Linked DNA regions of Struthio camelus. The protein of the gene in region 2 purifies or fractionates together with the protein of the main gene of each other region. This does not show direct contact. Links are inferred from orthologs where the notes say so. Each region holds a gene or a part of one and is shown on either strand. Other genes may lie near its edges.

The links.
Region 1: the proteins of SNRPE (region 2) and DDX46 purify together in Homo sapiens (co-immunoprecipitation; 3 studies listed by BioGRID and IntAct, counting the BioPlex papers as one, with this or other methods). This does not show direct contact. The link is inferred for Struthio camelus from reciprocal best matches to the Homo sapiens genes SNRPE and DDX46.
Region 3: the proteins of SNRPE (region 2) and PRKRIP1 purify together in Homo sapiens (co-immunoprecipitation; 3 studies listed by BioGRID and IntAct, counting the BioPlex papers as one, with this or other methods). This does not show direct contact. The link is inferred for Struthio camelus from reciprocal best matches to the Homo sapiens genes SNRPE and PRKRIP1.
Region 4: the proteins of SNRPE (region 2) and SNRPA purify together in Homo sapiens (co-immunoprecipitation; 4 studies listed by BioGRID and IntAct, counting the BioPlex papers as one, with this or other methods). This does not show direct contact. The link is inferred for Struthio camelus from reciprocal best matches to the Homo sapiens genes SNRPE and SNRPA.

The regions. Positions count from the first base shown.
Region 1 is NC_090954.1:4,146,788-4,154,613, forward strand, and holds the start of DDX46 (probable ATP-dependent RNA helicase DDX46), read left to right. Parts: upstream 1-4,823; 5' UTR 4,824-4,999; coding exon 5,000-5,016; intron 5,017-7,767; coding exon 7,768-7,826. Other genes in the region: guided entry of tail-anchored proteins factor CAMLG, read left to right, coding at 1,655-1,846. UniProt on the Homo sapiens protein: Component of the 17S U2 SnRNP complex of the spliceosome, a large ribonucleoprotein complex that removes introns from transcribed pre-mRNAs.
Region 2 is NC_090965.1:6,662,164-6,669,545, reverse strand, and holds SNRPE (small nuclear ribonucleoprotein E), read right to left. Parts: upstream 2,852-7,382; 5' UTR 2,732-2,851; coding exon 2,678-2,731; intron 2,507-2,677; coding exon 2,480-2,506; intron 1,923-2,479; coding exon 1,860-1,922; intron 1,624-1,859; coding exon 1,545-1,623; intron 791-1,544; coding exon 735-790; 3' UTR 509-734; downstream 1-508. Other genes in the region: ZC3H11A (zinc finger CCCH domain-containing protein 11A), read right to left, coding at 5,243-5,501, 6,258-6,325, 6,748-6,920. UniProt on the Homo sapiens protein: Plays a role in pre-mRNA splicing as a core component of the spliceosomal U1, U2, U4 and U5 small nuclear ribonucleoproteins (snRNPs), the building blocks of the spliceosome.
Region 3 is NC_090957.1:14,350,202-14,358,148, reverse strand, and holds the start of PRKRIP1 (PRKR-interacting protein 1), read right to left. Parts: upstream 3,001-7,947; 5' UTR 2,956-3,000; coding exon 2,836-2,955; intron 1,196-2,835; coding exon 1,117-1,195; intron 1-1,116.
Region 4 is NC_090957.1:588,455-596,263, reverse strand, and holds the start of SNRPA (U1 small nuclear ribonucleoprotein A), read right to left. Parts: upstream 3,007-7,809; 5' UTR 2,761-3,006; intron 1,873-2,760; 5' UTR 1,851-1,872; coding exon 1,778-1,850; intron 1,534-1,777; coding exon 1,361-1,533; intron 1,273-1,360; coding exon 1,096-1,272; intron 990-1,095; coding exon 849-989; intron 563-848; coding exon 471-562; intron 377-470; coding exon 217-376; 3' UTR 1-216. Other genes in the region: ACTMAP (actin maturation protease), read left to right, coding at 3,238-3,449, 4,243-4,311, 4,397-4,521, 4,625-4,754, 4,843-4,913, 5,030-5,358; COQ8B (atypical kinase COQ8B, mitochondrial), read left to right, coding at 7,082-7,096, 7,179-7,298. UniProt on the Homo sapiens protein: Component of the spliceosomal U1 snRNP, which is essential for recognition of the pre-mRNA 5' splice-site and the subsequent assembly of the spliceosome. U1 snRNP is the first snRNP to interact with pre-mRNA.

The DNA.
Region 1 (7,826 bases), on a different chromosome or scaffold from region 2:
TTAAAATGCTTTTAATTTAAATTTCTGCTTAGATTGTATTGTTTTATGACCAATAATTTTCTCCTTGCGTTTTCAACTGTGGAATTGGGAGTTATCGAATGCTATTAGTTAATACTAGTTTTTAATCTTCCCAGATTTAGTCCAAATTTTGTTTAAAGTTGCTGTGAAAGTGAGGACTAGCACCTTACTTAGCTGTAGCCTAATTGGAAGCATCTGCCCAGGAAAGCCAGGTAGTTTTTCTGTGTCTTTAGGAAGCTTTTGTTTTCCTCCCAGCCAGTACTGTTCTGCAGTTACTGATGTTAGCTCTGTTGACAGCCATGGTGTATGTGATGTCTGAACAAAATTGTTTCAAATTACAAAATGAGACAGTCCCTGGCTTTTAAGGGCTCTGTATTCCATTGCTAATGTTGGTTTGAGTGAAGACTTGAAATAAGCAATATATTTGTCTGTGAAACTTCCTGCTTATCAGCAAAATTTGCTGTATCCCTTTGTATGTTTATGTCAGTTAGTTGTACTGAAGTTTGTCTGGAGTTTTTTTTGCTTGATGATTTTGTCAGGTCTATGTTGCAAAGCAGGATTAAATGATGCTCAATCCATAGTTGAAGGGAAGCATTTGCATTTTATAAGGAATATTAGATAAACTGTAGAAAATCAGAGTAAATGAGTAGTAGTTCTTTTATAGTTAAGGACGTAGTTGAAATCTGAACTTCATAGCAGTCATTCTAAGGTGATGTGTCAAAACACAGAACAATAGAATTAGCCTTAGACTTACAGTAGCTTATCTGCTAGATCTTTTGATCTCTAGTTTCTGCTGTTTTTAAAATCAGCTATTCAGTTTTAGAATTTAAAGAGGTGGTTTCTTTCCACAACCTGCTTTTCCTGCAGTTGTTATACACAGATGAGCTCAATCAGCTTACTTTCCTTCATTCTCCTCTCACCAGGCCTAGGAAGATTCTTGAATGCTTAATTTAGATTGGATCATATTCAGATATCCAGCAAATATTCTTAAATTGCTAAAACTTTGAACTGCTTTTCAAACTTGTTTGCCTGCCTGTCCGACCTCTTTGCGTCTTCAGGCTCCTACACGGCCTTACCTTATGGACAGAAAAGCAGCTTTGAGAAGGGCTTTTAGAGAGATTTTTGAGTTCAGAGGCTAAAACTACCAAATGGAGTCGTACTTGATGAGAAAGGAGCAGTTGGTTTTCAATTCTAAATCATATTTCTATGTTAGAAAAGTAGCAGTTTCTTTTGCCAAGTAGTGTGATGAGGTTAATCCTGCTCAGCAAGTGGAGATGCCTGGCTTGTGTTCACGCACCTGAGCTTCCCTTGTCTGGGACTCTTGCCACTCATGCTGGGGCAGCTGCATAGCCACGCTTTACAGTCTGTTGTGCCAGCGTGAAGTAGGCATAGTGCCCGTGGGGACTTGTATCTGCTGTGAACCGGACTCTCACTCAGCTCCATTGGATCCATCATAGCCTGAATCTCTAGCTAGGATGTGTTGTGAATCCTGGAGAGAATCAGTCCCAACCTGCCACTCTTACCCATGGATTTGGAATGCGCTTGGCTGTGGGTGAAACTAGCACAACATATGCAGTCTTTAAAGCAGAATTGGATTATAACAGAAGAACTAACTTAATATTGTTTTTTCTTTTAGTGTGAAAAGAAGGTGAAAACGACAGTACTAACTGCAGCTCTTTTACTATCTGGAATCCCAGCGGAAGTGATTAGTCGCTCCATGGACACCTACAGCAAAATGGGAGACGTTTTCACAGACCTTTGTGTCTATTTCTTTACTTTTATCTTCTGCCATGAACTTTCTGTGTTTTTTGGTTCTGAAGTACCCTGATGGCTGTAGAACTCAATGCAGTAGTTACACGAAAGCTTTCTGTTCTGTATTCCTTTAACATCTGACTGTCCAAGCAGGTTTAAACCTTAATTAAAATTCTTACTGGTTTGAATGCTTGAAAGGAGCCTTGAATCCAGTCATTTTGGGAATGGAAGAACAGGGTCCCAGGCTGCCAGTTGTGTTAGTGCAGTTTATTTATATTCTGTGTCTGCCTCTTACAAATACGAAGAATAGGATGCAAGTGTCAGTAGATATATTTTGTTTTGTTAGATGATGCCCTTCTCACCCTCCTTCATAAACACTTACAAAGCTACCTTTGTTTTTTGTGGAGAGAACAAAAAGAAGGGATCAATTTTCAACAGAACCGTGTATGTGTGTATATATATATATATATATATATATATATATATTTATCCAGTACGGCTGTAGCTAGCAAGCTCTGCTCAGTTTGTGTTACTTCCATTTTCTTAACAAAAGCTCTAAATAAAAGAAATCCCTATATTCTGTTGTTCCAATTCAGAATGCTGAGGCAAGCAGCTGCTTCTGGAGAATGTTGGTGAAACATGCCACTCCATTCTCCTAATCCTTGCCTTGCTATAAATTTGTTGTGATTGTGATGAATTTCATTTGATGATTCTAGTGCAAAACAGCTAAGCAAAAACAAATATTATATATATATATTTCCTTTTGGTCTACAAGTGTCATCAATCAAAAGTAGAAAGAAACGAAATTCATCTCAACTGTTTGTGAGTTTCCGGCAGCCTGTTAATCCTAGCATAGCTCATACCAGTGTTTTCGTTCAACCTCGCCACCCCCCCCCCCTTTTTTTTTCTTGTAGCAATAGTTTACCTCATGCAGGGAAAGATGTATATATTGGCAAGCAACCCGCAGTATAAAACATTTGCTCCGTATATGTAAAAATTACAAGGGAACTGTTGTTTTTCTAGCTCCTTGCAGGTTTGCATAAGACGATTTTGAATGTGACATTAATTTCTGTATTTTTTTCTCTGTTTATTACCAGACATTTGCATGTAAACAGGATCTCAGTTGCCTAGGAGTTCTGCTCCTGCTGCTTAATAGTACTACTAGCCAACGGCATATACTCTTTCATTCAGCAGAGCTATTTATATGTTAACTGATTTGCTGTCTTCTGTCCTGTGTTTTTGAAATTCCCCAATTCCCACAGAAAAATCAATGTCTGATGGGAGAATAGCATCTTAAATTTTCCTGTGGGAGTGCAGCCCCATAGGTGAAAAAGAAAACAAATACAAATGAATCCTACAACTGGGAAAAGTAGCAAGCTAGTGAGTGTTGTCTTGTTTCAGTCCTATAAGATTTTAATACAGTGAGAGGAAGGTGGCTTCATTCCAAATAGCCAGCCTTTCATGCTGACAGTCTGTAAAAATGTATGTTGAATCTCAACTTGATGTTATCATCAGCTTGTAGTTTTCCTATTAGAATTGGGACTTTCAGGTAATCCAGGCTAATATTTGTCTTTTTTTTAAGTGTAGAGAGACACCTAGTTACGGTGATAGCTGCATACATTTTAGGGAGCAAAACTCATTGTGTGTGTTTAAAATAAATGGCTCTGCTTTCTGCTTAATCGTTTCTGTTAAAGCTGCCTGCTGTAATCTTAGCACTGCATTTCTGACTCCAAAGTCAGATATGTGTTTGTGGCATGAAAAGAAGAAGCTTTCGTTATGGATTTGACGCTTTCAGTTTTTACTTGTTATTTTATACTGAATATCTTGTTGCAGATGTCCAGGTCTGGGCTGTAAAAGATTCTGACTTAGGTCTATTAGCACAGATATTAAAAGGTTCTGGCTAAATATTAGACAAAAGTTTCAGCAGGTTCAAATAGCTGACATTTAAGTTAAGGTTGAAATACGTAAGTAATGAGTTTGCTCAAAAATTATTCTTTCGCTTATATGCCCAAATGTAAAGACAAATAAATTTCGAAAATACCAGGTACTAGCGTCTGCAAAAAGCACGGAATTTCTAGTCCTGAGCACAAATATTTTAATCCTGATCAGCTAGTTAATAAGAAAGCAGGTGACCCACCTGCCTTATTGTATTTTCACACAGCCGCTTTTAGAATCCTTTTGCATAAAAAATGATTAAGCAGGTTATTCTCTCAAGTGGTGAAAGAAATGTTGCTACGAGACCTAATCTGGGAACTTTTCAGTCTGAAAACACCTGGTTTTATGTGACAAACTGTTCAAGATGGGATTGGAATATGGTCTTCCTGTCTCTTAAGTGAATATACATAGAGCCAGCAGGGACTTCACTAAATTACTCTTTGCCTTTGATCAAGAAATGAGTCTCCTTTTCCCCGTTTTGGCTTACCTTTGTTTATGTACATAATTCTATTTAATGTTTATTGCTAAACTGGTTGTTTTCTATTAAAAATATATTTGTTACCCCCCCCCCTTCTTCATTTCGTCTGTCGGCCTACCATCCTTTGTTGTAAAAGTCACGGTTTATTAAACGCGTGCCGAGTTGGTAGTTCCGCCAGGAACGCTTTGACCCTCCTGAGAGCAGCGGGAGCCCGCGCCCGAGCCTCGCCGCTGCGCCGGCCGTGGGCCTCTCCCCTGTAATTCGCGTTTGTCGCTTATGTTTAGTGTCAGCTGTCAACGGCCTCTTAAGAGGGGCAGTCACAGCAGGGCTGGCCGACGGCTGAGCGGGCTGTAGCCTCGAGGGTATGAGAAGAAAGGGCGTCGAAGCCCGCGGGTGGCAGGCGGCGTTGGCTCCGGCCCTCCCGTGAATCGATTCTGCCCCCGGAAACTTTGGCTTTTGGCCGGCGGTGAGAGCGTGCAGGTGAGGGCTGTGATCAGCGGGGCAGCCAGGCCCCTGCGGTGAGCCGCCGCCACCGCGTGTCCCGAGGACCTTTTGCCCCGGTTGGGTTAAAACAGGGGAAAATCGGGGGCCGCCGCCGCTTTCCCAGCGGGCTCCGGAAGCGGCGTTTGCCGCGCGGGGCGGCGGCGCGGCCTCCGGCCGCCAGGGGGCGCCGCGCCGCGGCGGCGGCCAGGAAGGTGTGTGTGTCGGGGGGGGAAGGCCGCTTCCCGCCGCGGCGCTTCTCGTCGTCCGGGGCGCTGGGGGCGCGGAATGGCCGCCGCCGTCTAGCGTTGGGCTCGCGCCGCCGCCGCCGCCGCCATGGGCCGGGAGTCCAGGTGAGGCAGCGCGGGGCGTCGCGGCCCGGCCAGACCCGGGGCGGCGGCCGGGAGGCGCGCGGGGAACAAAGGGCCGCGGCTGGGCTGGGCTGGGCTGGGCTGGGCCGGGCGCGCCGCGCCGCTGAGGCGGGACAGGCCGGACCGGGCCGGACGGGACCGGTCGGGACCGGACCGGACCGGACCGGACGGCGCTGCGCTGCGCTGCGCTGCCGTCGCCACGCCGCCCGCCCGCCCGGGCTGGTGGCGGCGGCCCGCGGCGCGGTCTGCGGCCGGCGGCGAGGAGCGACACCCGCCTTTTGGGTCGCGGTAACCGAGCGGCACCAAACGCCCCTTTGGCCTGCGCGCGTTCGCTTCCAAACAGTAAGAGCCACGTCCCTCACCTGGCAGGCGTTATTCCCCGTTAGCTCTTTTTGTTTTTTTTCCTTTCTCCTCCATATTCCGTTTTAAGTTCACGCCGGGTCACGTATCTTTTGTCCTCTCTCAGCTCGGATAAGCGTCGCGGTAGGTGTTTGAACCGGCTCAGCAGTAACGCGCTCGCGGACTCGGTGCTTCGGAGCAGACCGGAGCGGTTCAGAGCTGGTGCTAAGCCTGCCAGGTTTTAAATCCTCGTAGTAGTTTGCAAGTGCTCTTATAACATATATCAGTTTGTGACTACTAGTTTAGTTTACTCCTGGTTAATTAGCTTAATTAGCTTAGTTATAGGGGTTTTATCGCTGAAACTGCAACGCAATAAAAATGCATACTTTGTGTCCCTACCTGCTGGCGTCCCTACACTGCGAAGACATCCTAGGTTCATAACTTAGATCCCGCCTGACAGAGGCAAACGAGTTGAAATTTTGAGTACCGTCATGGGTTCAAACTGGCGATTCACTGCAGAGCTGTGTACTTAAAGAAGAGCTGCGGACTCAAAACCTTGTCCTTTTTGGCCTGTTGTGTCAGCTCGTCTAATAAAAGCCCTATGGAACTTGCCTCCGGGGTCACAGCCCCTCGTCGCTGAGAAAAGGGTGCACGCGTGTTTCAGGCAGCGACCGAACACGGCTCCCGTAGATACAGCTGAGTGAGTTTCAGACTAGTTAGCTGAGCGGTTGTTAGCTGCTGGCTGCGATGCTCGCACGGGACGCGGTATCTGCTGGGGACCCAGCTCCAAACTGCTGGCGCTCGAGCCGGCGGGGCTCCCTCGCTTGGCACAGTTCAGCTCCTCTTCTGATAGTGCTGCCAGTTTTTGTCGGGCTCTGAGGTCATGCTGAGCAGAAACGTATTTATCACACGAGGCCGCAGGCCTCTGAGGAATAATTCTTTTACAAGCAGGTCCTGCAGGCCCCGCTTCTCCCAGGCCCTGATGCGTACACACGTTTTTCTGTTTGTGGGTTTGGATAATGAGCTGGACCAAACAACTGGCTAAGAATAATCTAAAAAAGTGGAGTTTAATTTGTGTTATTTCTCTAGTTTATTGCCTGAAAACAGAATCTTCTAAGTAGAACTGAAGAGATGGTAAGAGAGTGAGAATGAGTGGTGGGTGGAGAAGGGTGGGGTGGGCTGCATGTGCTGGAATTGCTGTTGAAGGAAATGGTCAGCAAGGTAGAGCTTTTGAGACTTGAAATAAGATACCAGCCTCACTGCACACTCTAGAAACAAACATACCAAATACCGGGGGGGGGGGGGTGTGGGGAGGGGGCGGGATGTGGAGCAGCATTTTAGTGACAGAGATGAGGAAGAAATCGGAGATACCTGATGCTGACAGATGTCCTGCACGTTCAGTTGTACTGCTGATAGGCAACGCATTGATATTGTTGTGATTCCAAACGTGTATGATACTTGAATATACCAACATACGGAAATGAACTGTGTTACTTTTAGTGCCGATACGGTTGTAGTATAACCCTATGTGGTAATGAGGAAAAGGGAGGAAAGAAGTCAAGGGCTTGAGGTCTTGCTTTCTTTGCTTCTTCCTGCTTCCGACGCATTGCTACCAGGCTGGTGGGGTGAAAGGGTCTGTGGTCTCGGACTACCAGAGCATGAGGGAGGGAGGAAGAGGAGATGGTCCCCGTAGAGGTCCCTCTGTAACTTGTACGCTGAGGTGAAGAGTTTTGAGAACAGCTCCTAGCCCAAACCCCTCTCCCAGTTTGACTGGGATAAGAGAGCATTAGTGGAGGGCGAAAAAGAGATGCCCATCTCCACCACAACCCTTGAAAGCCTTGCTAACTTCTTGAGGCTTGCGTTGAGGTGTCTGATGGCGTTATGGAGTTTCTTTTGGTGTCAGCATCATAAAGGAATTGACCACTGCTGCATCACGTATGTTCCTTTAGTTGCAGTTTGACCACTTTTCCCTTGAACAGAGGTATAACTTACTTGGCTTACTTGGGTGAAAAGCGACAAAAATTAGTTTTACCTGTTTGACAAATTTGATGACGCACCTTCAAACAGTTGTAGGCTTTTCATGCATGTAACAACAATCAGTGGATTTCTAAAGGGGCAGTTATTTTTCTTGATGTTCCAGTGTTCTCATAGTGCTGTTACATCAGAGCTCAAAAACCAACGAAAAATATGACCAAGTAATCCATCCAATTTTGACACCATTAGGAATATGTTTGCATTAATCGTTTTTGCAAGAATGTTAAAAATGTTTAGAAAGTGAATAAATCAAAGAAATTAAGTGATTTTTTTTTTGCTCTCCAAGTAAATATGACAAATCTTTTAACTGCTAGTTTTTCTCATATTCGCATTCATCTTTTTTATGAATTTACAATACAGGCATTATCGGAAGCGCTCTGCATCACGTGGACGCTCTGGTAGCCGTTCTAGAAGTCGTT
Region 2 (7,382 bases):
CCAAACTAACTCCATCTGAAGATAAAAGTTACTTTGAAAGCATGAAGAACAGTAAAGTTTGCAAATGTCAGATTATTATACTACAGCCCCAACTCCCTTGCCAACCCGCTAACAAACTTGTAAAGACTGATGCACAAGGAGCACTCCTGTACAAAATCTCAGGAAATTAGGTGTTTTTTCCTCAAGAAATTAGGTGTTGGTTGTTTTGTTTAGAAAATGTCTCAGGAAGCTGTCATAGCGGGCACTGAGGGCTGTAACTGCATATTCTTGTATTCTTGGGGAAAATCTATAACAACTTCACTAGAACCACGCAAGCTCAAGGACTGCACGTGGCTCCAGCATCCTTTCCGAACAAGTCTATCTTGTCAACATAACGCAGATTTGATGTTCCAGAACACAGAGTTGTTTCTCTTATCAGAAACTGCATAGACCCATGGTGAAAAGAACCCCAAACACATTTCTCCCCTTCCTCCACTCATAGAAGGACATGAGACTGAAAACAAGCAGATTTATGTTTACAGTTAACATGAAAAATGTTTATTTGTGAAATACATCTTTTATGGTATCGAAGTTAAAAAAAAATACTCCCACAAAGCTACAAACCATTTTAACCTCAGCATGCAACCCCAGCTACACGTAGCTTCCTATCTACCAGCAGCTCATGTTCCCATGACCTAGCACTTTATCCGCTCTGAAGCACAGTAACTATTGTTCTAAGGGAAGAACAGCAAATTCTAGTTAGAAACACTTTGTAGAAGAGTGATATTGTCCCCTTTTAACATGATCCGACCTGCAACACAGAGAAAGGAAAGGGGGAATTAGAAAGATCCCAGGGTCTGAGAATAACCTCATATTTTCAAATAACATTTCACAAAGGGAAAGATGTTTGCAAGAAGATGCCCACATGATAACTGACGAGTTTTTTTTTCAGACTACGGTCACAGACAGTCTCTTCCTTGCTGGCCACACCACAGGACTACAAGCCTGGCAGCACATGGCCCACGTGCACAGTTCACACTACAGCGTATCAGACACAATCTCCATTCTAGTGCTCTGCGCCCCAGCAGCACTATGCCCCCGGTAAGAGCCTGAACACATCGCTTGTCACAGACCGTTGCTTATCTTCATCAGCAGATGGCAAATACTACATACCACCACTTAGGTGGTTCCTTGCTTTGACTCAGAGGTGGCACAGCACGTGTAAAAATTTCTTAGAGATATCTGTTTTAGATGAAGCTGAAAGGAGTTTTGCCTGAACTCCTCCAGCCCTGGCTGCAGGAAAAAAGAGAGAGATGCAGCACAGACCTTACATTGTTACACACATTTAAAAGCTGAAAATAGGTCTCAGGCACTGACAGATTCTCCTGTATATCCAACAAAACCACCAAATCAACAAAGAGCAGGCACACAGATCTAGCCAGTATCCTTCCACTATACTTCAAACTCAAAACTCTTCACATGTTGTGTATTTTAAAGCGCTGCCATTTGGAAGGCTCAAATAACCACGTTTCAGATCATGCATCGCTTAGGTTATACAGACATACCGAGCTGTTTCCTTGATTTCGTTTTTGAGTGAATCTCCTCTGCGTCGTCCAGAACCAAGTTCATATATTCATCAAAGCCCTAAAAAACAACAACAAAAGCAGTTAGCGAGCTCAGTCTCCTACTCTTAACTTCAGCAACAGTGATACGAACTATCAATAAATATGCTGACACAGGCTAGACAATTAAGACCATTCACTGGAGGCATAAGGAGTGCTCTTTCAATCTGTGCTAGTTTCCCTTGACGAGAAGAAATAGAATCTGTGACTCTGGAGAAACTAACAAAAGAAATAATAAGGGTACCTCCTGATACTCACAATGATGCATCCTTCTATCCGCATGTTCACTTGCTCATAGAGCCAGACCTGGATCCTGGACCTCTGCAAAACGATGGGGGAAGAGAGCAAAATACGAACATAAACACCCCAAGCAATTTTGTTCCTCTCTCCTGTAAACTGAGAGCTCAGCTGGATCCTTACTACCACCAGCCACCGCAGCTCTATGGCTACATCCATTCAAAGGACAAACTCTCAAATATGGTCTCAATCACGTCCTCAGACATCTTTTAAGATGTTTTTCTCAGCGATTTGGAAAAGTCGTGGAAGCACATGTACGAGCCTGTATTTTAAAACAGACACAGAAGAACGGCCCTGCTCGTGTGACGTGATGATCAAACTCCCACTAGGGAGGTAACCTGTGAACGTGTAAAGGAAATCCTCAACTTGGAACCTGCTGTTCTGTACCCGAAAGATAGCGAGCTCTTCAGCTACCAGAAAACGGCTTTAAAAAACGTGTGTGTGGAGGGGGAGGGGGAATTCCACCAGCCAAACCCGCTGCTGTACCCGGCAGCAGCTCCAGGCCCTCGCCAGGGCCGGGACTCCTCTCGCCCCCCCCCACCCCCCCAAACCCCGTCCCGCCCCCCGGCCCCGGTACTCACGTTTTGCAGGTAGCGGAAGATGAGGTTCTGGAGCGCAGCGTTAAGGGCAGCACCACGGCACGGGGCACGGAGCCCGGCAACGACACGCCGTCCCCGCCGCCCGGCCCGCTCCTCCCCGCCGCCCCCCCCCCCGTCACCCCCCCACGGCCGGGAGCGGAGGCCGCCGCGGCCCTGCTCTCTCCGCCGGCGGAAGGATACGATGGGCTGCACCATCACCTTCTGCACCTTCTGGCCCTGCCCGCGGTACGCCATGGCCGCTGCTCCTCCGCCGCCGCCGCCGCCGCCCGGGCCCGCCGCCAGGCACGCGCTCCCGCCACCGCCACAGCCGCCGCCGCCGCCGGAAGCCGCTGGGCACGCCGGGAGAGCGCGCGGCGCTCTGGGACTGCGGGAGGACTTGGCGCGCTGCCCGGCCGCTCTAGGACCGGCGGGAGGACCGCCGCTCGACTTGCTCCGTGCGGGGCCAAAAGGGTAACCAGAGGGCTGGGGCGAGGGGGGAAGCTCAGGGGGGCAGCCCAGCTCTCTGCCCAGGACCAGGGGGCCTCAGGGAATGAGGGAGGAGGGTCCTAGCCTCCACCTTTGGGGGCCTGGGGAACTGGCCCCCTCCAGCCCTGGGGGGCTTAGCAAAGCAGGGAGGTGCAGGGGACTGTCCCCCCACCCCAGCCCAGGGCAGGGGTTGGCTCCAGCACCCTTCAGCCCCTGCTGCTCGGCCCCTCTCACCTCTCTGGGTGCAGGCAGACCCCCCCCCCCCCAAACACCTCCGGCTGCTGCAGACAGACCACGTGTCACCAGCTTTCCTACGCCAGGTTTATTTAAAAACACCTGTAACTGCCATCACGTAGAACAGTTCAACTAATGGTGAACGTGGAGGAGCTGGACTACATTTAATACAATACCTTAAATAGAATACAAATATAAAATGAAAGAATAAAATATTTACAGAAACAATGGCATACACAAAATCCCGTCTCCAGGGACAGAGCCTCTCGGCTCAGAGGCGGCAAAGGCTGACAACAGAAGAGAATATTCTGCTTAAACAACAGCAAGGAGAGAAAAAGCAAGGGGGAAGTCTTCCACACCACGGTCTCTCACGTGTGCTTCTCTCCTCCTCAAAGTCACTTCTGTCTGTGCACAAGCAGCCAGAGCTGGCAGAAGTCGCATCATGAAAAAGTCCTTCAGCAGGATAAAGGGCAGCGCTGTCCTGCCCACTTTGTAGGAAGTTTCCAACTTGGTGACCCTTCTGGAACTAGAACAGCAGTTTCTTCAGAAAGGGCTTTGCTAATTTTGGTTCAAACTTTTCCTCTAGGAACTAAGACATCACAGTGGATTATCAAAGCACACAAGTGTTTTCTTCCAAAGAGAAAAATATTTACAATAAGCTAAACAGCTGATTTTCCTCTGCCAGCAGCAAACGCCTGAGGGCCCCTACAGCTTCACAAATCATAACAGGAAGAGACTAAAGTTCTCCAGAAATTTAAGAAAATAATTAAAAAATATATCTGCTAGGGAAAATGATCACTGGTGGCAGGGTACACAATAGACCCCAGTCTCAGCTATTTTCTGCAGGGTCGCAATTTCAGACTGCGCATTCAGATGGCCAGTAACCTCCCGTCCCGACTCCAATGCGTACTTCTACATGGAGCTCAAGCCTCAAAGGTGCGTTGGGGGTATAGGGGAGATGAAAGGAAGGGAGCCCCAGGACATGCCTAAAAAGGAGAGCACAGTCAGTCCTGCAGCAGTACCAAGTACCAAGATTGCTTGTCTGGGCACCGGCCTCCTGTTGGTTCAATGCCACAAATGACCACCCGATCAGACAGATGCCACATGGCCAACAGGAGTTCAAATAAAGCTGACAGTCAGTGTTTTAATGTTAGCCCTAGCAGCTGTCACTTCCCAGCAGAAGAGCCAGCAACTCAGGGGAGTGATTCCTGGAACCAAGAGGCACTTAAACCAATTCTTCATTTACCAATTTACTGCAGACTATAAGAGGAATCCTGACTTCTCAACCCAGAATCCTATTCACTTCAGCAAAAAGCACCAAAACCCCCAAGCTTTGATACAGTACAATGAAAGGGGGGGGGAGGGTATTCTAGCTGTACTGTATAGCTGCTGCTTTTCACACTGACATTGTGTTATCCCTGATAATCGAGGAGAAGTAAGGCTGGATGGACTGACTCCAACCACCACCCTTGGCAGCATGTTTGGTCCAAAATGCAAGAAGTAATCATTCTGCTCCCTCCCACCCCTTCGTTTTCATTAATTTGCCCTAAAAGAGTAAAGTCAAAATGATAGCATACATAAATAGAAATCAAGAGTTGACATAGTAACTCCAAGCTTTAGCATCAACTGTCCAAGAAATCAGAATGCAAAAACCTTGAAATACACCCAACGTTGTGTTTTGCCAAGGGCAGGGGAGGCAGGGAAAGAAGCTTTAAGTTTAAGCCTTCAGAGCATCACTGACTCAGTAGATCAATTCACAACCACCACAGCTTGCAGATGGGCATCTTTCTGGTCTGAAATAAAGAAGTGCTTTGTCCTCTTAATATTGAAGGTAGCCACCAATAGTAACAGAACGGATGCGCAGGACTTGAACTCTGACCAGCAGGGAAATCTAGGACAACTGAGTGCAGATATTGCCAATTTCTACCAGTTCAACTGTGCTTTAAGACTCATTGCAAAGCCTCAGCTAGAAAAAGGATCATCTCAGGGTATCCAACAAAATATACAGTTTTAATTTTTTTTTTTTGAAACAGAAGAATATGCAGTTCAGCTGTCAATCATCTCAGAAAGTTCAAGAAGGAGGTCATCCTCATCTTTCCCTGGGTCCAGATCAATTTCTGCTTCTAGTTTGCCTCCTGAGATTTCCCAAATAAGCTTCTCAAAGTCATCTTCTACAGATAAAGGTGCTTTCCCAGCCCCTGTGGAGCTTAACCGGCGCGTCTTTACCACTGCTTGTGAAGAAGTTGAGCTTGAGACCTCTGACTGTGCCACAGAATCTGCCTGGCTTACAATATGCAGTTCAGCACTTGGGAGAACAAGAAAGAGAACAATCAGTATGTGATATTCCTTAACTAGAGATGCATTTTCTGCCAACTAGCTCTTAAAACTGCAGCTAATCCCTCCTACACTTTACACAGGGATCATTATTCAATCAAGCTGGGGCTACTTTAGGTTCTCATACACTAATATTAGCAGATACATTTTCAGTTTGAGGATTCGTCTGTGAAAACAGAACAGCTGGAGATCTGGCAAAGACGGTTCAATTTTTGTAGCCAGAGACACTGTGCCACATTTACTAATTTGACTGTTAAGAGGTCAAGGAGTCAACCTCTGCAAATACCTGTTTACTATTTTAGTTATTTTTCCCATGACATGCTCTGCAGACTTTGCTCCCAAATACAGGAAGTTGATCCTCATATACCATCTCTCTCTCCTCTTCCAACAGTCTTTGCCCAGATGTATGTTTGGTTCTAGAGAATGCCATTGCAAAGAAAGAGGTCTTCCTCCATCCCGACCCATCTCCAACTTCATCTCATCTTCATTCAAGTTTTCAGATAACCCAAGAAGACACTATCAACTGGCAGCACTTTAAAGGGAAGCGTCTAAATAACAACTCCTTCCCGCTGCTGGAAAACGCATTCATATGATTTGTCCTAGCAGAGTTCTTCATTTGATTTTGGCATTAATCATCTCAAAACTCTAATTTTTCCACATGTGAAAGAACGTATGTTTCAAGTGAAAGCCACAGTGACCCAGAAAAAGAACAAGTTTTGGTTGTCACCTGTCTTTGGGTTTTTCTCTTTCAGGTATAGTGACCAAGTTATCCTCTGGCAGGGCTGGAACAACAGCCTGGGAAGAAACAAGACAGTGTTTATGACACACAAGTAAATGATTTCTTAGCAGATGCTTCTTCCACACTGCTTCTCCTCTGGCATTGCTGAGCCTTAACCAAAATCCAGAGCCAGGGCTTTCCTGAGAAAAGTTGATATTAACTTCAAGCTTTCCAACGACCTCGTATTTTTTAAGAGCGCAGCATTAATGGAAAACACCACATAGAAATCATACTAGAGTATTATGAAAACACTGTCATGCCTCTAATAAAAAATAAAGAGGTACAACAACCACCCTGCAGATCGTTACTGGACCTAAGAGGGAACAAAAGACATACAGAACACCCGTTTTCCATTTTTCCAACTTTTGTCCAAGAGGAGGGTAAAACTGAAGCATAAATTTTACTAGGGACCAGCAACTGTCTCAGCTAGCGTCCTTACCACAGTTGCTTTTTTAGCTGGAGGCTCCTTCATGTCACCACCACCAGTGCTGCTCAATGGTTTCACAGCTGCCACAGCAGAGGGATGACTCTCAGCTGCCCTACGTTTCAGGGCCTGCTTTGTAGGGGAGGTGGCTTTCCCATCCGATGGCTTCATGCTCGCCTTAGATTTGGCTAGAACAAAAGGAAAAGAGAACTGATATAGTCTTGCTCTGCCACAAGAAAAATCCAGGTTCTCTTAACGTTCCCATAATCCTTCCTCAGTTCATTAAAATATATTTGGCAGCAGAACTGCACTGCTATTTCCCAGACTCTCAGTAACATTTGATATACAGAGAACTGTTTACTCACAATCCATAAAGAGGAGCAAAGAAACTCAACAGCAACACTAAATAATAGACCAGGACAAGGAAAACTCAAACACAGTGCAATCTTAAGTGAAAGTAGTACTTTTTCTAAAGCACAGTATGGAGTCTAAGAAAGTTCACAAATAGAAACAATTTCTGTATTTAAAGAGCCTTGATTTCTCTAGAAAAAGTAGCAGCTACGATAAGACACGAGATAGTATGCTACTGCCGTATAAGCTCCCCTTTCTCTTGCAGTCACGACCCACAGAATTTATTAAGCTATTCTACA
Region 3 (7,947 bases), on a different chromosome or scaffold from region 2:
CAGAACATCCAGACAGTAAAAGAACCACAGAAATCAAGCTCATGTCCCATTTTCTTCTAGATAGAGGCCAACTAAAACATCCAACTGAGGCTGTTTCTCACCTATTTTCAGCATCTCATAAAAATGAAGGTCAACAGAAAGGTGAGAAAACCTGTCATATTACATTTTCCCATGCAAGACGAACACCACTGACAGTTTTTGTCCATTGGAAAAAAAAAAAATCCCTACAGCTGTCTCTTCTTGGCCTTAATCTGCATGTTAGTCTCACAGGAACTTTTCACATAACACTATACTCCATCTCCTCCCTGTCTCCCGAGCCATTTTTCAATGCAAAGCACAGACGTGTGCAAATATACGCTTAAAAAAAGACACCTAGTTCTTAAAGCACAGAAACTAGGACTGCAACAGGGGTGCTCTTGACTACCAATAGAGTCCGAGCGCATCAAGTGTTCCCAGATAAACAAGCCGGTCCCACTCCAGCATATGGCAAAGCTATTTGGAAATGCCACAAGGGAACTAAAATAAGCAGAACATTTTATTCTGCCTCTAAAACGAATTGTTAATAAGGATAAAAGTCCCAAATAAAGAGGGAACTTGCACATGCAGATACAATTTATACCACAAATTGTAAACTCAGTCCAAACAACCTTGACCCCATAGATAAAACGTTAAGTGTCACCAGAACACTTAGGTTGGGTTCCCTGCGTGACCATAGACAAACATGTACGAGTTTGTTTCTCAGTGACTCAGATTCAGACACAAAGCAATCAAAGGAGGAATTTCATAATTTTAAGTCTTCAGAGTACTCACTGAACTATGGAAAGGACAGATTTACTTATGCCTTGTCATCAATAAAACCAGCTTATTTCCTTGCACACAGTCAGGCGCACACTGCACACGGCAGAGTGCCTTAGGCACTGTTCGCTCTGCATTCCGACAACAAGCAGAATCGAACCCCAAGAACAAAGAAAACTTTAAAAATCAACTCTAAAAGCACATTTCACACCCCTTTTCTCCAGAAAAATGAGCAACAATAGAGAACAGCCTCTACCTCTTCTGTTACTTTTCTAAGCTTACTGCAGTTGGTCATACAGTTATCTTTAACAGTATCTTTACCCATCACATCTCTAACAAACTCCGGGGGAGGTCGTGGGGCCCACTCATTCAGTTTTTCAGGAATTGGTACAGTCTTTTCCTGCAAGAACAAACCAAGCAGTCATTAGTATCTTCTCAGAGCAAAGCCTGCAACTTTAACATATTGTTGAAAGGTAGTGTACGTGTGACAACAGACTCTTCCCCCAGCTGACAGATCTCAGAAGGAGCAGAGTTGTAGTAAGTTCTTCACGCGCAGGGATCAGGAGCACGCAGGAAACAACAGCCACAAGGAATCCTCCCCCCCCCCCCCATTCCCTCCATTTCAGCCCTGCAGGTCAACAAACCCTAGGAAGATTACAAGGGTCCGCACTTCTTTTCAGTACGGCAATTGGAGGAGGTAAGTTAGTACCCCCGTGTACTTGTGGAAAGTGGCTCTGTTCCCACTAAAAGCAGTCGGGAAAAAGAGGAAAGGCATTTGTGCACCTTTCATCTCAGCTAAGATGAGGGAGGGCAGGGAAGGCAGGGAACGCTTGGCGCAAGGTCAGAGGAAGAACGCAGGGCGGGAGGAAGGCTCCGCACACGGATGGGAGGCTGAGCCCCATCCGGCACGCAGCTCCCCTCCGGACAAGGGTCAGAGCCTCCAGGCGGAGGAATCGGGGTCCAGCCCCATGTGTCACCGTCCCCGTTTCTCACCTGCCCCCGACTCCCATTAAAAGCATAGGGCAGGAGAGCGAGCAGAGGGAGCCCTGAGGGCGCAGGGGGCCCCTCCGCCCCCGGCCCCAGAGAGGGGTCTCTCCCCTCCGCAGCACGGGGCAAGGAGCCCTTGGTCCGGCTGCACGTGGGGACCAGCGCTGCCGCCACCGCTCGGGGGGTCCTCTCGCCCTCTCCCCTCACGGCACCCCCGGGGACTGGGGTCTCCCTCGCCCCTCACGGCGCCCCGCGGGGGGGGGGTCCTCTCGCCCTCTCCCCTCACGGCACCCCGCGGGGGGGGTCCTCTCGCCCTCTCCCCTCACGGCGCCCTGGAGAGGGGGGGGTCTCTCGCCCTCTCCCCTCACGGCACCCCACAGGGGGGGGGTCTCTCGCCCTCTCCCCTCACGGCGCCCCGCAGGGGGGGGGGTCTCTCGCCCTCTCCCCTCACGGCGCCCCGCAGAGGGGGGGGGGTCTCTCGCCCTCTCCCCTCACGGCGCCCCGCAGAGGGGGGGGGGTCTCTCGCCCTCTCCCCTCACGGCGCCCCGCAGAGGGGGGGGGGTCTCTCGCCCTCTCCCCTCACGGCGCCCCGCAGAGGGGGGGGTCTCGCCCTCTCCCCTCACGGCGCCCCGCAGGGGGGGGGTCTCTCGCCCTCTCCCCTCACGGCGCCCCGCGGGGGGGGGTCCTCTCGCCCCTCACGGCGCCCCGCGGGGGGGGGTCCTCTCGCCCTCTCCCCTCACGGCGCCCCGCGGGGGGGGGTCCTCTCGCCCTCTCCCCTCACGGCGCCCCGCGGGGGGGGGTCCTCTCGCCCCTCACGGCGCCCCGCGGGGGGGGGTCCTCTCGCCCTCTCCCCTCACGGCGCCCCGCAGAGGGGGGGGGTCTCTCGCCCTCTCCCCTCACGGCGCCCCGCGGGGTGGGGGTCTCTCGCCCTCTCCCCTCACGGCGCCCCGCAGGGGGGGGGTCTCTCGCCCTCTCCCCTCACGGCGCCCCCGGGGAGCGGGGGTCTCCCCCTCGCCCCTGACGGTCACCCCCGCCGGGGCCGGGCGCCCTCACCGGGTTCCTCATGAGCCGCTCGAGGCGGAGGCGCTGCTCCTCGGCGGCGCTGCGCGGGATGACGAGCGGCTGCGGCTCCTTGCGGGGCCGCGGCGGGCGCGGGGCCGAGGGCGCCGCCATGCTCCGGCCTCCGCCCGCCGCGCGGCCGCGGACTGATGGCGTCAACGGCGCGCGACGGGGCGGCGCCGCCCTGGCGTTGTGGGGGCGCCATGGCGGCGGCGGCGGGAGGAGGGGGAGGAGGGGGGGGGGGTACCACGATGATGGCGGCGGCGGCGGCTGCAGCCCTTCGCTGCACGGAGGCTCCCTGGCCCCGGCCAGCTCTGGCGCTGCGGAGCAGCTCACCGGAGCGGCTTTACCGCGGCGTGTTCATTCTCTCAGCTGCCCCCAGCGCGTTGCCCGGCCCCGTCGGTGCCGTCGCCACCTCCGAGCGGTGCCCCGTCCCGGCCGGGCTGCGGGCCGCCCCGGCGCGGCGAGTCCTGAGCGTTTCACACCGGCCCCCTCGCCCCGGCCACGTGCCGGCCCCGTGACAGCGAGCGCGATGGGGGCCCTTCCTCGCGCCATCCGCTCGTCCCGCTTCCGGAATTAAACAGCGCTGCCATGGCGGCCCCGCCGGCTTCTGTCCGCCGAGGGCCGTGGAGGGCGGCGGCGGGAGAGGCCGCCGGGCTTCGCCGAAACGGTGCCGGCGGCGGCCGGGAGCGGGGAAGAGGAGCCGGAGCTGGCGGAGATACCAGCTCCCCCTCCGCAGCCAAATTTCTTGTGGAGCCGCGGCGGCCCTACCGAAACGGCCTGGCGCGGGCTGAAGGGTCAGCCGCAGTGGCAGAGGGGCACGAGCCTGTGGGCGGTTTAGTGAGACGGGCTGGGGCGGCGAAGCTGGGCGCCGGGTTTCGGACGGCTTCGTGCTGTGCGTGCGGAGAGGGCGGCAGAGAGGCGGGCGCAGAGGGTGAGCGCAGAGGCCCCTTGGCAGATTTATGGATGGCTCTCACGACCTGAATTTATTAAGGCCCCCCCGGGCTCTTCCCCCTTCCGTGAAGACAATCTGAGCTCAGCCTTGGGTCTGTGTTTACAAAGGACTTTTCAACCTCTTCTGAGGTTGCTATGGAAATAGCAGTGGTTTGTTCCTCGCGTTTGTCTTACCAACCTGATTTGTAAAAGAATGGTGTGAATTTAGGGTTGGCGGTGGTCCCAGCTGGCCGCGCTGGCCTGGGAAGGGAAGGGAAGGGAAGGCATCCTTGCAGTCACAGCCCTGGCTGGAGCCGTGCAAAGGGCTGCCGCCGTGCTGCCTCCCAGCCCGCCAGCTCCTGCCCCCGCGGCTCCCCCAGCCCCGGGTCCCACTCTCCTGCCTGCCAGGAGACACCGGCGCCGTTTGCAGAGGCCAGGCAGGCACGCGCCCCCGTCGCCTCTCGCTCAGACTTGCTGCAAACTGCCTGAGTCTCCGCTTCCCTCTGCTCTGCTGAGTCTTAAGCCCACCACAGGCCACTCTAGCTCAATAGCCCGTGAGGTGACACCCGTTTCTCCTTGCTGCCGCGGCCGCCTCTGCAAACCACAGCCTCCAAAAGCAGGGCTCCGACATGTGGGGTGAGTGATGAGCTGTCAGGTCTCAGCCCTGTCATGCCAGCCCCGCTGGAGAAGGCAGAGCGGCAGCACGCAGAGCCTGCAGACACAGTTACGACCCGAGGGGCCGTGGGAAGCAGCTGGCCGGCTCGATTCGCTAGCCCAGAGCATGGTTTGTGCCGGTGACAACACGCAGCCCTAGGAAACAACAGGCAGTTGCCTGTCATCCAGCACAGCCCACACAAACAGCGCGGGCAAACAGACCTGGGAGCAGCCAGCTCTCAAACCACACGTCTGGGGAATTACTGCTGACCCTTGATGTATTATGCACGTGTTACTTTTAAGATGTATCTGGGGGGAACAGGATCATTATTTGGGGCATATCAAAATAGGAAGTATTTCACCATGCCATTAAAAAATGCAAACGCCCATGAAATCAGAGCGCTGGGCTGGGATCTGAACGGAAAAGAACTACCAGGGGTTTTGCGTTAGAGCAGGAAAGTGTGTTCGCAGTTCAGCGCAAACCAAACAACAAAATTCAGCTCCCTGATCTGTATCAAAGAAGCGTCTTTGTGTTTCAAAGCAGAGGTGTTATGAGGTGTTTTCTTAAGAAACAGGATTCTTCTGGAAGCACGTTAAGCTTTTGCTCAGACAGGTCCTGTGTGCCAGTCCGGCAGGAGCAGACACGGACAGCTCTAACGCCCAGGTGAAACGCCGGCGGTTGCAACGCTGAACGCCCTTCGCATCCTTCGCCGGCTCCATAACATCAGTGAGCGCGCGGCTCAGCCCCAGCAGCCCCGCAGCTCAGCCCCCTCGCTTGCTACGCCTGTTTTTTCCTTGTCTCGCTACTGGATCTCTGGGTTTGATGCATAGGACTGTCATGTCCTGTCCCTGCCCTGCCCTGTCCGGAGCGCTGTGAAAGCAAAGTAAAGCATGTTTTTTCCGGCAATCCCACCTTCAGGCACAGCCTTCACCACCCGCCTGGTGGGCACGAAGGAGGAGCTCATCTGCTCTCGCCGACGGCTGTTACCTCGCCGGCTGCCCAGCTCCCGACGCGTGAGCTAGCCAGAAGGGGTTAACGCGCTCTGGAGACTTTTAGGGAGGGAATTTTTTCATGAATGGCTCGTGATGCAACCACGGCCTGATCGCAGAGCGGAGTCGCTCCCGCCGCCCCCCAAAAGCCACGTGTTAGCTGTGTCTGGGAGCCGTGTCTGTCACGCCGCTCAGCTGTGACAGCGCAGTCTGGGACAACGTACCAGCTTTCCCAGGGGAGCCTCAGCAGCAGACAGCACGCCGGAAAGCGGTACCCACGGCAATGCGTGCGGCACCGCTTGCCAGGAGAGACCGTGGCAGGGGAGGGGGAAAGGCACTAAGGTGAACGCGGATTCTGGGAGGGCAGGGTGCTAGCACGGGCCTTCGGCAAGGGAGGAGCATCTTCGCTCCGCACGGCTGCTAATTCAGTATTATCTACGTTGGTGTCTGCTTCTGGGTCAACTTCACTAGTGACAAACCAAAGAAAATAACAGACCAGGCGGAGAGGAGATGCATCCACCCACTGCCATGCTGCGGGACGAGCGCGCGGGGCACTGCCAGGAAGGGAGCTGGCAGTGGGACCACCGTGGCCAGCCCAGCGGGAGTCTGCTAGTCGGAGGGAAGAAGAGAAACGACAGCTCCTGTGATCACAGGTGCCGCAACGCAGGCTGCCGGGCTGGTCTTCCCGGCAGGGCAGCTGGGGTCTGGGGACAGCGCTGCTTCCCCTTGCGAGAGGCGGGTGCGCAGGCACACGCAGCGTGCGACCCTGCCCCGTGCAGCCTGCACGCGTTCCCCCACCAGCCTCCACTTCGCAGGGACAAAACTACCCCTCTGCTCTGCCCCCGGTGCGCTGGACCAGCTCCGCTGGGGAAAGGTGGTCTGAGCCCTGCTGCGGCTGCCTCGAGATGAAGGGGTCTACACACATGCGACCCATGCTCTCTTCTCTTTTGTCACATAGCCAATCCAGGAAAGGCCCAAGCTCTTGTTAACGTGCTGTCCTTTTTGCAAGTGGTTTTATTTTAAAACTGGAACTCAAGTTCTCCATTTGTTTAGCAAGTCACTTTTTAAAATAAAATTAATTTATTCTACAGCACAGTAAACTCTTCCAGACTCTCCCCTATTTACAAATTAACATTTTTGCTTGCAGATCGTTGCTTCCCCCTCCTTTTCCTATCCTGCGGCGCAGAAGATGAAAAAGCAGCCAACACACAAAGGTCTCTAAGGCAGCGCTCCCATCCACAACCATCTGGCCTGTTGGGACCTTGGAGAAGACCAAGGGTGATGATGTCTGTGCCGCATCCGGTGCTCCCCCCGTTTGCCATGTGTGCATGAAGGAAGCAGGTCCATGTTAAACACACCGACCAAGAGCATCTGGCCTCTTCCTGCAGTGCTCAGTAGCGTCCCGATAGCTGCGCAGGCTCCTCTGGGCATCTCCAAGCCAGGTAGCTGTGCCGAGCAAGGGCTCATACCGCAGCCAGCCGCAATAGCTGCGTATTGGGGTGAAGGTGGCATCTGCTGCAGGAATGAGACCTGCCAGCCCTCCTCCTCACTGTGGCCCGCACACCCACCCTGCTGCAACGGCAGCTCTTATGTGGCGGGAGAGGCAAGGAGCCTCCAAGACATGTTCCCTGCCCTCGCGAAGGGGGAGAGACAAGTGGCTCAGGCAGGAGAGCTGGGCACATGTTTTGCTAGCTCGGGGAAGAAGGCACCTAAAAAAAAAAGCCCAACCCAAAACTGCCCAACGGAACAACTCTCCAGGCAAATTTAAGAGGTCTTGAGCCAGATTCTGGCTCTGCTCATGCCCTCTTTGCCCTCGGGGGTCCCTTCCAGCTGGGCACAGCTACACAAGAGGACGTCTGTCCCGTGGCGGTGGTGGGCTCTGCTGTGCACCGAGACCCACCACGTCTCCAAGCCCCCCGCGGTGGGTAAGAGGCAAACTGGCAGGGATGCGCCACTGCTGTCTGCAAGCAAAGTCTCTGCCCTTTAGGAGGGTCTCTCGTCCCGCGGGAAGCAAACAATCCCCGTAAGCATCCTGGCCTGTAAAACCACCCGTAAGGGCTTGAGAGACCCAGAGGGAAAGCACTGACAGCTGTCACTGCCGCTGCAGCGCCCGGTCCCTCCTGAGAGCCGTGCCGCTACGAAAGCCGACTGCCGGCTGGGTTTACCCCTGCCGGTCGGCCCTCTGCCCGGGGGGCGCGTTAGCCACCGGGGAGGGAAATCCCGGCTGACCACACAGTCAACCTGACCTGACCCCCCCGACTCGTTTAGCTGTTAACGCGCCTGGAAGCAGCCCCCTTCCTCTCGCTCCTCCTGGGCATTTCACTTTCTATAAGAAAAACAAAAAAAAAATCTTCAAAAGCAGCTATTGAAGATCCGTAGTGTTTTCATTTCTGGGGAGCCCAGCCGAGCACCTGCCCACCGCCTCTGCCACCAGGCCGCTCATGCAACGTGGGCTCGCTGGCCTGTTTTTCCAGGCTTGCCATCGAGGGATGGAGATTATTGCCTAGCCACGGCAGCAAAAAGGCACGA
Region 4 (7,809 bases), on a different chromosome or scaffold from region 2:
TGGATGCGGCAGGCGGAGGTCCGGCTCCGTTCGACCCCGGGGTGCCGCGGGGGAAGGAGAGGGGCTGGGGGGCAAAGACTCAGCCAGCCTCGGGGACAGACTTACCTTCTAGGGGAGGGAAAAACAAGCGAGCGAGCCCCGCAGAGGGGGCTGGCTGGGGACGGAGAGGCAGGGCTAGGGGGAGGGAGCAGTCCTGGGAGCTCGGTGCCTGCGAGATCACTTCTTGGCAAAGGAGATCTTCATGGCGTTGTTCTGGGTGATCTTGAAGCCTTGCAGCGCGTCGCGGGCGGCTCCCGCCTGCACCTCGTTATCGAACTCCACGAAGGCGATATCGTGTCTGCCCGGCACCAGGCGCACCTCCTTGAACCCGGGGAACCTGGCGGGGGACACGGGCAGTGAGAGGGGCCCCGACCGCCCCCGCCGTGCCTCCCCGCGTGCCCGCAGCCTCCCCGGCCCCGGCCTGCACTCACTGGTTGAACAGCATCGAGAGCATCAGCTCGTTGGTCTCCTCGGGCAGGTTGGTGAGGAAGAGGATGTGGTTGGGCGGGTTCTCCGAGAGCTGCTGAGAGAGCCGGAGTCAGCCCGGAGGGGCTCTGGGGGGAAGCTGGGCACCTCCTGGCCTCCCGCAGCGCTCCCAGAGGAGCTGAGGGAAGGCCCCGAGTCCCGTTCCCTGCCCCTCTCCTGCGACAGGGCCACCCTGCAGCCTGTGAGGTTTGGGGCTGGCACGTTTTCCCTTGGACTCTCTCTCGGCCCGCATGCACCTGGGCTCCCAGTGCCCGTACTGGGGCGCTAGGAGAAGCCCAGCCCCCGGCTGTGTTGGGGGCATCTGTCCGGGCATCGGGCATCACCTGCTGGGGGGGCATAGCCCCGGGAGGGATCCCACCGGGAGCCATGCCGGGCGGCGGGATCATGCCCGGTGGCGGCATGTAGGGCGGCTGGCCTGGCATGTGGTGCATCATGCGGGGCGCCTGGTTCATCGGCGGCATTCCCTGCGGGAGAGAGACGAGCTCAACGCCCAGACCCCCGACACCCGCCCCGAGCGCGGCCCCGGCGCTCCGATCCCCTCTCTGCGGCAGCTCCGGGCAGCTGACTCACGGGAACGGCTCCCTGGACTGCGGACGCAACCGGAGCCGCAGCCCCAGCGATCGCTTTCTTGGCTGAGGAAGCTTCTTGGCCTTTGGGCTTCCTCTTCTCCCGCTTGCGGTCACGCTCCACGAAGGTTCCCTTCATCTTGGCGATGATGTCCGAGTCTGTCTTCGAGTACTGAATCCTCTGCGGAGGGAAGGCAGAGGAAAACACGTCAGGGGGGCACTGCGGACCCAGGGGGCCGGCTCCCGGCAGCGCGGTGGGCAGGGCTCACCATGGGCTTGTCGTAGAAGGGGAAGCCCTGCATGGACCGCAGCGCGTTGGTGGCGCTACTGATCTCCTTGAAGATGACGAAGGCTTGACCCCGCATCTTCAGGCTCCGGGACACCAGGATGTCCAGGATTTGGCCGAACTGGGAGAAGATGGCGTAAAGGGACTTCTTCAGCTCTAGGAGACAAAGTTCGAGTCTGACACGTGTTGAGCAGCAAGGAGAATGAGCAGCTGTTGCTCATAAGAGCAGGCCTCCTCCTGGAGACAGATGGGCCGTTTCCCTCTGCAGCCAAACAACTTTGACCTTTCTCAGACAAACCAAAGAAAAAGCTGCCTCCACAAGCACCCCAGGGCCTAGATGAAGGTAGGATCCCCTCACCCCTCCCGCGTTCCCCTTCTGCCTGCTCAGGCCGCCCCTCACCATCCTTCTTGATCTTCTCGTTGAGGTTGTTGATGTAGATTGTGTGGTTGGGGCGTGCGTCCTGGACAGCCATGCTGAACACGTGACACCTGGATCTGCGAGGAGAGACCAGGCTGGAGAGGGCTGCGACGGCACTGGGGGACGGCGGGTCCCAGTTGTGCCCCCACAGGCAGTGAGAACCCTAACCCGGGTGCAAATGATGGGGGGGGGAAACAAGAGGGTCACCCCCTTCGAGCCCTCCTGGCGTGGGGGCTAATAGGTCCCTGCAAGGGTCCAGGGTCTAGGCGTGTCCCACAAGGTGGGAGAAAGACCCCAGACCCAGAGGCTTGAGAGAAGAAACAGCCCCAGGAAAGGATTAAATTCCCCTGGAGTGGAGCAAAACCCCAGACCCCTCAAATCCAGGGGGTTGGAGAAGGAAAAAACCCCAGGAAAGCTTTAAATATCCCCAGGAGGGGAAAAGACCCCAGACCCCCCCCCCAGATCAGGGGCTCAGGGAGGAGACACCCCCATGGGAGGGTTCAACCCCCTCGGGGGGGGAAGACCCCAGACCCCCCCCCCGATCAGGGGCTCAGGGAGGAGACACCCCCATGGTAGGGTTCAACCCCCTGGGGGGGGGGGGGAAGACCCCAGACCCCCCCCCCAGATCAAGGGCTCAGGGAGGAACCGGGCCCCAGAGCCGGGCTCGGGGCGGGGGGAAGGATCCCTGACCCCCCCCCCCCGGAGAGGAAGGGGTCAATACCCCCCCAGGGGTCACTACATCCGGGTCCTTCCCCCTCCCAGTAGAGGGGGGGAACATCCGGGTCCTTCCCCCCCCCAAAGGTCGGGGGGGGGGAGGACCCGGATGTGGAGACACCCGTGAGGCCCGTCCAGCCTCTCGGCTCCCCTCCCGGTGGCGGCGGGGGCTGCTGCCGCCTCCGCCACCCCGCCCGGGCCCTCCCGCTCCGCCCCGCGCCCCGGCGGCACCCGCCGCCGCCGCCACTCACCGAGGGCCCCGAGCGCGCCGCCGCCGCCGCCAGGCCCTGCTCGCCGCCCGCCAATAGCAGCGCGCCCGCCTCGCTCTCGCCCGCCAATAGCGAGGGCCGCCAATCAGAACGCGGCAGGCGCTAGCTCGGCGGCCAATGAGAACCGCGTGACCCGTCTCGGGGCGGCCAATCAGAACGCGTAGCCTGGGAGCCGCCCGCCCCTCCCTCCCTCGGGATTGAGGAGCCCCCTCCCCAGCGGAGCGGCGGGCGGCCACGCCCACCACCTGCGCGATTGGTCGAGCGCGGTCGGCGAGGTCTGGTCCGATTGGCCGGCTCCGTCACGGGGCCCGGAAGGGGCGGAGCAGAGGCCGGAAGCACGCGCGAGGGCAGCGGCGCGGGGGCACGTGCTGCTGCCGCACGGCGGCCTGACCTCTGACCCCTCTCCCCGCCATGACCTCTCACCTCCGGCCCGGGCGCCCTTTGACCTTGGCCTAGGGGATGGCCCTGGTCGGGGCCGGGGCGGTGCTGCCGCCAGGCCCCGCCCCCGCCCGGTGCGCCCCGCCCCCCCCGCCGCCGCCCCCCCCCCCGCCGCCGCCGCCGCCGCCGCCGCCCCCCCCGGGCCGCTTCCTGCGGGAGGCGCTGGAGCGAGCGGAGTCGGCGGACCGCGACGGCGGCGACCTCCGGGAGCTGCTGCGGCGGCGCCGGGAGAGGTGGGCGCCGGGGCCCGGGGGGGTCCCGGGCTGAACCGGGGGGTCCCGGGGGCCGGGATGAACCGGGGGGGGTCCCGGGGGATTGAGGGTCCCGGGCAGCTCGGCCTGACCCGGGGGGTCCCGGGGGTCCCGGGGCCTGGGATGGACCTGGGGGAATGGGGGGGGTCCTGGGGAATTGGGAGTCCCGGAGGGGCCTGGGGTGCGGGGGGTCCCGGGGCCTGGGACGGATCCGGGGGAATGGGGGGTCCCGGGGGACAGGAGGGTGCCGGTGAATGGGGGGACCCGGGATGACCCGGGGAAATGGGGGGTCCCGGGGAATTGGGGGTCCCGGAGGGGCCCGGGATGAGCCGGGTGATTGAGGGGGGTCCTGGGGGACGGGGAACCCTGGGGTCCGGCATGAACCAGGAGAAAGGAGGGACCCGGGGAGCTCGGCCTGACCCGGGGGGTCCCGGGGGTCCCGGGGCCTGGGATGGATCCGGGGGAATGGGGGGGTCCTGAGGAATTGGGGGTCCTGGAAGGTCCCGGGATGACCCAGGGAAATGGGGGGTCCCAGGGGATGGGGGGTCCGTGGGGTCCGGCATGAACCAGGGGAAAGGAGGGACCCGGGGAGCTCGGCCTGACCTGGGGGACGGGGGGTCCCGGCCTGACCTGGGGGACGGGGGGTCCCGGGGCGGACCGTGGCGATATCCCCCTGTGGTGGCCGGGGGGGGGGGTCCTGGACCCCGCGTGGGCCATGTTCCCCCCCCCCCCCCGCAGGTCACCAGGGTCCTGCTGAGCCTCTGCCTCCCCCCAGCTTCAGCAGCGACCTGCAGTGGCTCCTCGTCCACCGCCCGGTGCCGTCCCTCATCCAGGAGGGCCCCCAGTAAGTGTCGAGGTGGGGTGGGGGGAGGCCGGGGCTGGGGGCCGGGGGGTCCCGGCCACCCACGGCCCCGCTCGGCCCCCTCCAGGTGCGGGCTGGTGGCCCTGTGGATGGCCGGGGCCCTGCTGGAGCCGTCGCAGGGCGTCTCGCTGGAGCAGATCGTGCAGGCGGCGCGGGACCGGGCCTTCACCGCCCAGGGCGAGATGTTCTCAGGTGAGGGGGGCCGGCGGGGGGGCCGCTCCGAGCCCCGTCGGCGCCGTGCCGGGGCGGCGGCGGGGACCACCGGGATTTCCCTGCCCGCTCTGTGCCCCCGCAGCGGCTGACATGGCCACGCTGGCCCAGGAGCTGTTCCCGTGCCGCGCGGAGCTGCTTTCGGGGGGCCTGGAGGGGGACAACCGGCCCCGGATCCTGCGGCACCTCGCCGCCGGCCGGCCCCTGCTCGTGCCGTATCCTCCCGCCGCCGGGCAGAGCCGCGCGGCCCCGGCCCCCTCCGCGCCGCGCTGCCCCCGTTGTGCCCCTTAACGCCCGCCCCAGCTACGACGAGGACAGCAACCACGAGCCCTGCTGCCGCCAGGGCCACAAGGCCCACTGGGCCGTGGTCTCAGGTACGTCCGCGCCGGCGGCAGAGCGGGGCGGGGGGGACGCCGCCAGGGAGCCCCTGGCCCCGCTGCGGGGACGTTGGGGTCGCCCCGCGGCAGAGCTGACGGCGGCTCCGCTGCAGGCGCGCTGCTGGGTGCGAGGAGCCCGGCGCTGAGCCCCGGCTGCCGCGAGGACGCCGAGATCCCCGGCCTCTTCCACCCCGGCCCGGGGCCCCCCCGGCTGCCGCCGGACGACGAGCTGGCCGAGGTCTTCCTGCTGGCCAAGCAGGGCAAGAGCCGCCGCGTGCAGCTCTGGGGCTACGGGCGGCTGCACGAGAGCAACGCGCAGCTGACGGACTTCAGCCCGCGCCGGGCGGGCGACGGCAAGGTCTACGTGGTGCCGGCGGGCGGCGTGCGGGCTGGGCTCTGCGGCAAGGCCGTCCTGCTGCACCCCCCGGCCCCCGGCGTGTAGCCACCGCCGCGACGTGGGGGCGACGCGGGGCCTCGTCCCGGCTCGCTGCCGGCGAGCCCGCCCTGCTCTGCGCCGCCGCGTCCCCCCCCGGCGCGGGCAGGGGACGGTCCTGGAGGGAGAAGACGCCCCGGTTCTGCTGCGGAGGGGGGAAGCCAGGACACTTCCCGCTGCCGATCCAGCCGCTGCGTCCGGGGAAGGCTTCGCTGTCCCGCTCGCCTCCGGGAAGCGCCGTTAACGGGCGCGGAGAAGGGCCGAGCCCGCGCCAGGCTCGCGCACGCTGCTTCGCCCTGGCCGCACACGCGATTAAAGGCGAACGTTTGAGCCGTGCTCGTGTCGGTTCCCGCTGCACCGCAGCGGACCCCCGCGCCGCCCCGACGCCGTTGCTCCGCGCGCAGCGTTGGGAGCCAGCCTAGGGAAACTGAGGCACGGCCAAGGCAGGCCCGGACACCTGGGTCCCCTCTGCGGCCCTGTCGCTGGCTAAGGGGGAGGCTGAGGCAGGGGTGGGGTTGCCTGGGGGTGGGGCCCGGACGCCTGGGTCCTTTCCCACCCACCGGCTGGGAACGGGGCTACCTGGGGGTCCCAGAGGGGTCGCGGCCGCTGCTGATCTTGGGGCTGCATGGGGGGGCGGGGCTTGGGGAGGGGCGGGGCTTGGCAAGCAGGGACAGAGCACCCCTGGGAGGTGCATGAAGGGAGCGATGGGGCCCTGGCTGCCATGGGGATGGGTGCAGTGAGGTGCAGGGTGCAATGGGTCCCCTGGTGCACTGGGGCCCAGCTCCAATGGGGTCCTGGGTGCAGTGGGGTGCAGGGTGCAATGGGGCTGAGGTGCAATGGGGTGCAGGGTGCAATGGGTCCACTCGTGCAATGGGGCCCCCGGTGCAGTGGGGCCCAGCTCCAATGGGGTCCTGGGTGCAATGGAGCCTGTGGTGTAATGGGGCCTAGGGTGCAATGGGGTGCAGGCTGCAATGGGGCTCCTGGTGCAGTGGGGCCAGGCACAATGGGGCTGGGGTGCAATGGGTCCCCCAGTGCAGTGGAGCTGGATGCAATGGGATGCAGGGTGCAATGGGACCCCCTATGCAGTGGGGCCGGGCGCAATGGGGCTGAGCTGCAATAGGGCCCCTAGTGCAATGGGGTGCAGGGTGCAATGGGGCTGGCATGCAGTGGGGTCCCAGGTGCAGTGGGGTCCCGGGTGCAATGGGTCCCCCGATGCAGTGGGGCCAGGTGCAATGGGGCTGAGGTGCAGGGGGGCCCCCAGTGCAATGGGGTCCCGGGTGCAATGGGGTTCAGGGTGCAATGGGGTCCCGGGTGGAGTGGGGCCGGGTGCAATGGGGTCCCGGGTGCAGTGGGGTGCAGCGTGCAATGAGGCCGGGTGCAATGGGGTGCAGGGTGCAATGGGGCCCCCGGCGCAATGGGGCTGGCGTGCAATGGGGTCCCGGGTGGAGTGGGGCCGGGTGCAATGGGGTCCCGGGTGCAGTGGGGTCCAGCGTGCAATGAGGCCGGGTGCAATGGGGTGCAGGGTGCAATGGGGCCGGAGAGGGGGAGAGAGTCACCCCGCAGCCTGCAGCGCATGCGCGCTCCTGCAGCCCCCCCCCCCGCCGCTCCGCCCTCCCGGCAGGGGGCGGAGCCTCCCCTTTCCCTCCTCTCCCATTGGCCGCCCGCCGGCAGGCAGGTCAGGCTCTGATTGGCCGGCGGCGGGGGCGGGGCCGCTGACCCCGGAAGCGGCGCGATGGCGCGGAGCGGGGTGAGCGGGCGCGGCGGCCGTTGTTGCCCTCTGACCCCCCCCCCGCGGGCGGGCGGGCCGTGACCTCTGACCCCTCCCGCAGGTGGCTGCCGTGTGGCCGCTGCTGCGGGGGGCCGCGGGGGGGGCGGCGCCGCTGCGACCCCCCCCGGGGAGGCCCCGGACCCCCCCCGCCGCCCCCTGCAGCCCCCCCGGCGGCGAGAGGGTGAGTCTGACCCCTGACCTCTGACCCCTGCCCCTGACCCCTCCCCGGACAGAGACCCTTTGGCCCCAAGCGCTGACACCGCCCCCCCCCCCCGGCCGCACTGAGCTCATGTGACCCCCATGGTTCGCCCCCCCCCCCGCCATGATGAAGCCCTTTGACCTCTGACCCCTTTAAGCAGAGTCCTTTGACCCCCTGGTCCCCTCTGACCTCTGACCCCCCGTGCCGTGATCCTTTGACCTTGGTCCTTGATGCCCCCCCCCGTTAGAGACCCCCGACCCCCCCGAAGCAGAGACCTCTGACCGCTTGGTTCCCCCTAGACAGGGACCCTGTGACCTCTGACCTGTTCCCCCCCCCCGAGAGGGACCCTGTGACCTCTGGCCCCCCCCAGACAGAGACCTCTGACCCCTTGGTTCCCCCTGTTTAAAGACCCTGTGACCTCTGACCCCCTGCTCCCCCCCATACGGGGACCCTTCGACCCCCCGTTCCCGTGCCCAGCCCTGCCCCACGCCCT